2 linked regions of the Neurospora crassa OR74A genome follow. The protein of the gene in region 1 purifies or fractionates together with the protein of each later gene. This does not show direct contact. Links are inferred from orthologs where the notes say so. Each region holds a gene or a part of one and is shown on either strand. Other genes may lie near its edges.

The links.
Region 2: the proteins of ace-4 (region 1) and ace-2 purify together in Saccharomyces cerevisiae (affinity purification with mass spectrometry; 4 studies listed by BioGRID). This does not show direct contact. The link is inferred for Neurospora crassa OR74A from reciprocal best matches to the Saccharomyces cerevisiae genes LAT1 and PDA1.

What each region holds. Positions count from the first base shown.
Region 1 is NC_026504.1:431,219-435,623, reverse strand, and holds ace-4 (pyruvate dehydrogenase complex), read right to left. Parts: upstream 2,899-4,405; 5' UTR 2,387-2,898; coding exon 2,075-2,386; intron 1,770-2,074; coding exon 705-1,769; 3' UTR 107-704; downstream 1-106. UniProt on the Saccharomyces cerevisiae protein: The pyruvate dehydrogenase complex catalyzes the overall conversion of pyruvate to acetyl-CoA and CO(2).
Region 2 is NC_026503.1:1,563,081-1,567,651, forward strand, and holds ace-2 (pyruvate dehydrogenase E1 component alpha subunit), read right to left. Parts: upstream 2,971-4,571; 5' UTR 2,522-2,970; coding exon 2,369-2,521; intron 1,934-2,368; coding exon 1,800-1,933; intron 1,658-1,799; coding exon 1,290-1,657; intron 1,230-1,289; coding exon 1,143-1,229; intron 1,085-1,142; coding exon 573-1,084; 3' UTR 131-572; downstream 1-130. Other genes in the region: NCU16634 (hypothetical protein), read right to left, coding at 3,949-4,422. UniProt on the Saccharomyces cerevisiae protein: The pyruvate dehydrogenase complex catalyzes the overall conversion of pyruvate to acetyl-CoA and CO(2).

The sequences.
Region 1 (4,405 bases):
GTGCCGTCTGCCGCGGTCGGTCTGGAAGTTGACAGTCTGACACCTCGTTGTTCATCAACACCAGCGGCCGCCGCCCATTATCTTGGCATCACACTTATGATGCCCCCTGGTCAGGACCTTTCCTCGCTTTGCCAAAGCAGAATCTGTCCAAATACTGATATCCAAAATTAAAATTGGTATCCTCAGCCAAGCAGCAGGTTTGCCAAAACATGGCAGCTTCGACCACATATTTGGCTAGAAATGGACAAACAGATTGGGGTGCCATTCCCAAATCCTGTATCCAAAAGTCCTCAAGTTGCCTAACCGATGCCGGGGCTGAACTCAACTCTAACAAACGAAAAAGAAACAAAGATTTCCTGTATTTCCCGCACACCTCATGCTCAAGTTTTTGCTTATAAAAAGTGGGATCGAATCATTATACATATGGTGGTTGAGAGAGAACACAAACATGACACTGAATGGAACCTCCCAAAAGCTTTTGTAGCATCAGCTCGCTTTTTTGTCAACCAACTGACTGACATTGTCATTCCATCACCTCTCTTCCTCCCATCCATTCATCCATCCTTCCAATGCCTGCCCATTTCTATAAAATCTCATGCGCCGGCCTGCCGTGAACTTGGGGCCAAGTGACTGCTATCTAGTTTGCAGTCGCTCGATCCGTATAACTCCACTGAACGTCATCCAAAACAGAGTGCTATTCGCGTTTAAAGGAGGAGCTCGAGAGGGTTCTCAATGACCTTCTTCAACTCGCGGATCCACTCGGCACCGACAGCACCATCGACAACCTTGTGGTCAAAGCTGGCAGTGACGATGATCTGCTCGTCCCAAGAGACACCGGTGGTGCCATCCTCGTTCTCAACGGGGACGGCAACCTTCTGGGGGGCGCCAACGGCAAGGATGGCGGCCTGGGGAGGGTTGATGATGGCGGTGAAGCTCTGGACGGCGGGGTTCATGCCCATGTTGGAGATGGAGATGCTGCCACCCTGGTACTCCTCGGGCTTGAGCTTGCCGTCGCGGGCCTTCTTGGCGAGCTCCTTGACGGCGGCCGAGATGCTCTCGAGACCCTTGCCCTCGACACCCTTGACAATGGGGGTGATGAGGCCGTTGGGGGTGGCGACGGCAACGGAAACGTCGACGGTCTCGAACTGGCGGATGACACCGTCGCGCCACGAGCTGTTGACGGTAGGGACGCGCTTGGAAGCAATACCCATGGCCTTGATGAGGAAGTCGTTGACCGAAAGCTTGTAGCGGCCATCAGCAGAGCTGTTGAGCGCCTGGCGGAGCTTGAGAAGCTTGCTGACGGAGAGGTTGGTGGAAACGAAGAAGTGGGGGTTCTCCGTGACAGACTCCTTCAAGCGGGCGGCAATAGTCTTGCGCATGCCAGAGATGGGGACATCAGTGTAGGCAGCGGCGGCGGCACCGGCAGCGGGAGCGCTAGCAAGAGCCTTCTTGACATCCTCCTCAGTGATCTTGCCACCGGGACCAGAGCCCTTGACGTTGCGCAGGTCGATGCCCTTCTCGCGAGCGAGTCTCTTGGCAGCGGGGAGAGCGTTGGGCTCGCGCTCGAGGGCAGTCTGGAAGCGGCCGGTGAAGCTAGTGTTCTCGGGCTCGGGAGCGGGAGTAGGAGCGGGGGTCGGAGCGCTGGCGGTGCTCTCGTTCTTGGGCTCATCCTTGGGGACAGCGGGGGAGGTCTCGCCGCCGGCATCCTTGAGGGTGAAGTCCTTGAAGGCGTTGACGTCGGTGCCCTCCTCGACGAGAATGGCAATGGGCTAGAGAAGGAGGAAGAAGCATGGTCAGCATGGGTCGTCTGTCTACATTAGGCGCGCACAAGCTAAGGCGACGCGGGGCGTGTAGACGCTCAACGGCACCATGACATATCACCCGACAGGCGAGACACAGGGCACGAGGCGCGCACGAGGCATAAAGGAAGAAGAGTGGATTCAGGGTCGAGTGGGGAAGAGGGTCGGGATGGGAGGAGATGTGCATGGAGTCATGGAGTTGGAGTAGGTAGGGCTGGAGTGTTTGGCAGGTATGATGACTCGTGGCTCGACAGGTAGTGTAGGTAGGTACTTACGTTGCCAACGGCGACGTCCTTCTCGCCCGAGTCCTTGAGGATCTTGGCGAGGACACCCTCCTCCTGGAACTCAAAGTCCATCTGGGCCTTGTCGGTCTCGATCTCGACGAGCACCTCACCGGGCTCGATCTTGTCACCGGGCTTCTTCTGCCATGCGCCAATACCGCCCGAGGTCATGGTGGGCGAGAGGGCGGGCATCTTGACGACGGTGTGAGGGGGGTACGAGGCGTACCATCTTGTGAGGCTGGGGAGGGCGACACGGGCGACGCTGGCATGGCGGAGAGCCTGCCTTGAGAGGACGGGGACGATCATGGTGAGAGGGTGTGATGTGAAGGTTGGGTGGTTGTGGTGGTGTTTTTTTTGAGAGAGGAGGTTGTGTTCAATTTGCTAGTATGGAATGTTTATGTGGGGATTCCAAACCAAGCTGGAGGAGCAGCACTCAGCAGCAGTGGCAGCGGCGGCAGGACCTTGGAGAGGGGAAAGGCCGACCGGGGGGGAGGGGGGCAGAGGGACGCGGGTTGGAGAAGCTGGCTTGTGCGGAGGGAGGCCGGGATGTCTGATTGATGGACGCGGATTCGCAGTAGGGCCAAGCCTGGAGGTGTAAGTCGTCGACTGCGCGAGTCAGGTTGATGCGGAAAAAGAGTGGAAAAAGAACGGGAAGATTGCAGGTTTGGAAAGATGGAAGACTGCGCGAGATGAGATTCGACCTGAATGACGGATTCGTCGTGGAGAGCACAACAGGAAGATGACAGCGGGCAGCGGCGGGATACGGAGCCGGACTTCAATCGGCGACACTCGTGAACTTTTTTTTTTTTTTTTTTTTTCCCTCTCTCTCCACTGCGGCGGTGGCATCACACTTTCTCACTTCCCGTCACCAACCACACTCACCACACTCACTGCCCGCCTTGTGTCCCCTCAGCTCCTTGCTCTCTGCCCCCCTGCGATTTCTCCCAACAGTTGGGGGAAGCTCCCCCCAGCAGTTCCAGCGTAAGCAGAGCCCCCGCCGAGCCAAGGCCAGGCTATTTCAGGGCTAGCACGGCCTCGCAGCTGCCCGGTGCCCAAAGACAGCAGGAGGCCAAGCTTTGAGAATCCCCCGGTCGCGCAACGGGGAGTAAATGACGCTAAGCCTAATGGGGGCAGATGGATGATTGATTACTTGATAAGAGAGGTTGCAATCACGAACTGGAATTGTCAAGCTAACCTAGCTTTGGAGCAGTGATATCTTGTTTGAATATCTATATGTATGAGCAGCGCGCATGGAGGTGCTATCTGTATTTGCGAGTTATGAAGACCTGAATATCAAGTAACCTTATGGACCAAAGTGAGATGCGGACTTCAACAGTTCTCCGATGAACAACCTCGAGAGAGATGAAGTGCTGACAGGGACATCGGACTGGCAGCTGCACGGATCCATAACAGTTCGCGCTAAGGTACGGATTACGTTCTGCGGGCCGATCGGAGGATTTGATTGCGATGGAAACCGTCAACTCCAAGAGGATTGGACTCTGCAGTGTCAGTGATGTCAAACTAAGGGACCCGATCCATGAGAGATGCTGCAGAATGGCATATAATGACAAAATTGGACTGGTGATGACATTTCAGTTTTCGTATGTACAAGCAATCAGGAGCAGCTAACAACGGTCTCTCGTCATCAGTCATATTCCCAACCTCTGAAGAGCTTCGTATCCGAGTTGCCCTGAGATCGTGTTGTAGAAGCTGAAAAGGCACACGACTTGGTTATTGATTAAACTTCCCACGAGGTATTCATACCATCAAGACTCCAAGCCTATGGTAGTAACACAAGTTACAGTTTGGCTTCCCTCCGATGGATGTGAAATACGCCGTGTCATGGATCACCGGTGTCCAATATGTCCAAAGACAACTGATACGCAAAAGAGATGGGATCCATATCTACAATGGAAGACGGGATTGAATGGCTATCATCGGATTCTTCAAAAGCTGACGCCGGCGGCGGGCTACCAATGAACAGACCAATTACTGACCCATGCGTCAAAAAGAGTATCCACGGCTGCAGTTCCGGCAGGCAAAGCGGCTGGCAGATAGATTGATACGTACGGAGATAAAGTGAGAGGTACGTAGGTACGTGTAGGTACCTGATGGAAGAGGAAGGGAAGTGGAAGGGTCGGGAATGGTCCGTGCCCGCGACACTCACTGCAGCCATCAGGGTCTTGATGGACCCACTCTTCAATTGAAGGCTTGCTGTCAACTTCCACTGTTTCGGTCGGCAAGTCAGCAGTCACAGGCCGCGCGCCGCTGAGTTGTCGCAATCCCATGCTAGACCTAGGTAAGTAGCCTCCATGTTGCATCGTG
Region 2 (4,571 bases), on another chromosome or scaffold:
CCCCTTGCTGTGCGGGCGAAATTTGGGGTAGCGCCTACCGTCGCAACGTAAGCGCCAAGCACCGCCCATCAATTTGATCTCCAAATCTCCAACAGCTCAAAAATGTTGGGCTGAGAACCCGATTTGATACGACAGACAGGGCTGGCAATTCGAGGCTGGGCAGGGAGGGGCAGGCTGCGATACGATATCGGACCTCATCTCACAAGCCCAGTCATTCAGCTGTTGCATCATAACAAGACAGCTATCTTGAAAGCTTATCAATTTCATAACCCGCCTTCCCTTTCCCCATCCCTTTCCCCTAAAACCTGTCTAGATATATATATATATATATGTGTTTGTGTGTGTGGTTGTGTTTGTGACTGTTTTGCGCTACGCAGAAATGTTTTATTATACAAGGAAAATGGAAAGAAGAAGTGACGACCGTCCATGATGGCCGACGTAGATAAAAGACGCCAGCACCATTTTTGGTTTTGTGATATGCATCAGAGGAAAGGACAAGTTTCTTGGTTGTAACTTGAAAAAACCCATCTAGTTTGTCATTACTTCTGCCTCTCTACTCAATTTTAACTTTTTTAGTGCTTGAAGTAGAAAAGCTCATCAGGGGTACGGCCACGGATGAAGTCGGGCTCGGTACCCTTGACGTAGATGTCCTCAAACAGAATCTGCTGGTTGGCCTCCGGAGGAGGCATGGCCTCGGCGGCGGCAACCTCCTCGTTGACGTAGGCGCGAGCCTCCTTGTCGAGGTTCTTGAGCTCCTCCTCCGAGGCAACACCCCACTCGAGAATGTGCTGCTTGAGGCCGGCAATAGGGTCGTTGGTGGAGCGCATGCGCTGGATCTCCTCACGGGTACGGTAGGTGGTGCCGGGGTCGGACATGGAGTGACCACCATAGCGGTAGGTGACGTACTCGAGCACGAGAGGGCCGTTGTCGTTGTTGGTCCACTGCTTACCGTACGCGACGGCAGCCTTGACGGCAAGGACGTCCATGCCGTTGACCTTGAGACCGGGGATGTACTGGCCACGCTTGTAGTAGTCGGTCAAGGCCGACGAGCGGGCGGCAGAGGTACCCATACCATACTTGTTGTCTGCACCATCATACATGTCAGTAAGAGTATCTAAGACCATGAAACCTGGGCTACTTACTCTCGCAGCCGAAAAGGGCAGGGAGGTTCCAGAGCTTGGCCATGTTGAAAGACTCAAAGACCTGACCCTGGTTGCTGGCACCATCACCTATAACAATGTATTAGCCTTCCGAACCCCCAACGTTGTTCCCACCAAGAAAAGGCTTACCGTAGAGGATGATGGAAGCGTTCTTGCGGCCAGTGTACTTGTGGGCGAAAGCAAGACCAGCACCGACGGCGACCTGCGCACCGACGATACCGTTACCGCCGTAGAAGCCCTTGGTGAACATGTGCATGGAACCACCCTTGCCGTAGGCAATACCGCCACGGCGACCGAGAAGCTCGCCAATGATGGAGCGAACGGTACCGCCGCGCATGTAGGCGAAGCCGTGGCAACGGTACGAGGTGATGACGTCGTCAGCTCTCTCGATCGCATGCTCGATACCGACGGCGACAGCCTCCTGACCAACGGACAAATGGCAGAAACCACGAATCTTCTTCTCCTTGTACAGTCTGTCGGCGGCCATCTCCATTTGTCTATATGCAGAGAGAGCAATGTGTTAGCTATATGCTATGTGGTGAAGCCATGTTGATCCTCCAGGCCGAGATCGGCAGAGATAGGAGGGGGGAAGCTTAGAGCCCCCCGGTGAGGACAAGGGGGATTGTAGTCTTTGCATACCTGACGACGACCATGTCGTAGTACATCTGCTTCAGCTCCTTCTTGGTGACATTGAGGGTGTAGGGAGGGGGGTCGAGCTCGTAGGTCTCGAAGCTCTCATCGCTGAGGGTGACCTGGAAGGGCTCGGTCTCCGACTAGATTGAAGCAAAATTGCATGGTAAGCTTATCGACGTTCCCAGGAGTAGTTGTAGTAGCGACAAGTAACAGTCTTTGGATTGCGCGCAAAAATCTGCACAACCCAGCCCCCAACGACGACAACGACGGCGACGACATGATATGTTTCGAAACCACCAAAACAAACGGTGTTCATCTGGTGTTTTCTATTGACTTGACGTCAAGAGAATCAAGGCGGGTCCGGCGGGTCCGGCAGCAAGCGGTAAGGTAGACAGACTCGCATGGGACATGACTTGCTTGACTCGCGACGAGCGTTGCTTGGGGGACTCGGGGAGGGGACATGACTAGGGAGTCTCTCCCTCCCTCCAGTCTTCTTTTGTTTCTCCAACACACACAATACCACCATCGAAACCCACTTCGAACGACATCCCGACATCAACAGTAAACAAACGTACCTCTGGGAGGGGCTTCTCGAGCTGGGCCGAAGCAGCATTGGTGGTGACGGACCTCCTAGCGGCGATCGAGGGAATAACGACACGGGGAGCAGCAACGCGGGCGCGGACGGGCGCCGCTACCCTCGTCGATAACCGGGCTGCGCGAGAAAACATTCTGGATTATCTGTCTCTCTCGTCTCGCTGGGAAATACGATGGCAGCTGAGAGATTGAAAGAGTTTGGGGGGGTGGATGACGACAGGAGTGGAAGCGGAGAGAGGACGAGAATGAAGGACGAGTCGACGAGCAAAAGCAAACTGGCAAACTGAAAATCCTTGGGACGGGAGTGTGGAAGGGTCGCGAATTGATGGGCTCCGATGGGGTAGGTAGGCGAGCCAGGGCGCCCGGTACGGCAGGACTGGGTGCGGGCAGCCAGGGCAGGTGTGCAGCACCTAGCAGGCGCAGCACGTCAGGGAACGAACTCTTCAATTGGAGATACGCCGGGCGGCGCTCACAGACAGGGCACCAGCACGGATAGGGTATCGTCGGATATGTGTGTTACGCTGTGGCCCGGGGGATTTTTTTTTCTGGCATGGAGATCCCCCAGCTAGGTGTACTGTCACTGCTTACTTACCTACCTTACAGAGTTACAAGAGCTCTCTGTCCACTGCTACTAGAAAAGCTTGTCAAGGCGGGCAGGTACTAACGCGATAGGAAACTCCCACAAACGGTACGTGTACCGGTATGCCGGCCGTTCTCCGGAGCTCGTTTTGACGCTGTCAGGGCTGTCAGAAAAAATTATTATGGATCTCCCCGTCGCGGTCCATGAGCTTTTGGAGGAGAATGGAGGGGAAGGGGCAAGGAACGTCCAAAAAAAAAAAGTCCACAGTCAGAGGGGCGAGGCGAACGAGTGTTGAGCAGAGGCAGAAGCTTGGGTAGCACGCGCTAACTGAGTTTGGCATTGCATGGATCAGGTGGGGGAAGGAAAGTTTGTTGGAGATCTCCATTCGAGCTTACCTCCATGACAAATTATATAAGACCCTCGTTTGCCGCCCACGAGTTGTACAGCCAAGGGTCTCGATGATTTCGTCACGGACGAGGTGAACTGAATGAAAGACTCGCTCTTGTTCGTTTTCGTCCTTCTCCTTGTTCGCTTCCAAAGACACCACCACCACCGTCACCACTATGACCAGTTATCACAGCGGGCGGCACTCAGTACTATGCCGCCATCCCATCGACTCCATTGTGAACCCCATCAAAAATGGAGTTTGACATTCCGGAATGCCCCACCCAACAGCCGCCGCTTTCCACTTGCCTCACGAACCCTACCTAACCTCGATCGGGAATAATTGCTTATCAGTTTTCTTACCACTACAGTTTAGACGACAGGCGTGGCATGCAGGTAACCGTAATCAACATCTGACCGAACATGGCCTTGAAGGATTCTGCGTATATAGGGCAAGGGCACTTTTAATCCAATTCGGCGATATCTTCATTATGAACATTATCAACAAGAAAAGTATCACAACCGTCCTGATGACAGACAACATAACCACAAAAGCATAAAGCCCAGCATAAGACAAACCATCGAGGATATCTGCCATTAACCTATCGCTACAAGTCTCCCGTCCTCTTCCCCCGGGTATTTATAGACAAGTGGGTTTAGTATCCTATCTTGGGATAAAACATACGATATGCATACGTTGAGGGAGTGAACAAATGCAAAACAGGTATAAGATATAAGGCATTGTGGACCGATGGCATGTGTATGTCTTTCATAGTCCCGGTTGCCGTAGTGTAGTACAGTGTCTCGCAATATAGTAGTGTAGAGTTCCTGAACGAAGTGTATTTGTACCGTGACCACATCCAATGCCGAGTTGCTCATCCGCTTCTTGATGGACTCTCTCCTCTGTCCCGTCTGTCTGTCCGTCTGTCCGTCTGTCTGTCCAGCTGCGTGCGTTTCTGATATAGATATAAAGAACAAGAGAGAAGACGCAAAAAATAAAAGAAAAAATATGAATGCTGGTCCGTTGTCTGCCTGTCCGAATGCGTGTGGGTGTGCTTTGAAAACCTTCATGTGTGTGTGTGGGTGTGAGTGTGTGTGTGTGTCAACGCCATAGCAATGCTCCCTGCAAAGTTTCCGCGCTTAGTGATCATGGGTGTTGCCGTCACATCTGCAACCTCAGCCAGCTGTACTGGCGCCGCGCGCTATTTGAGATTGCTAGG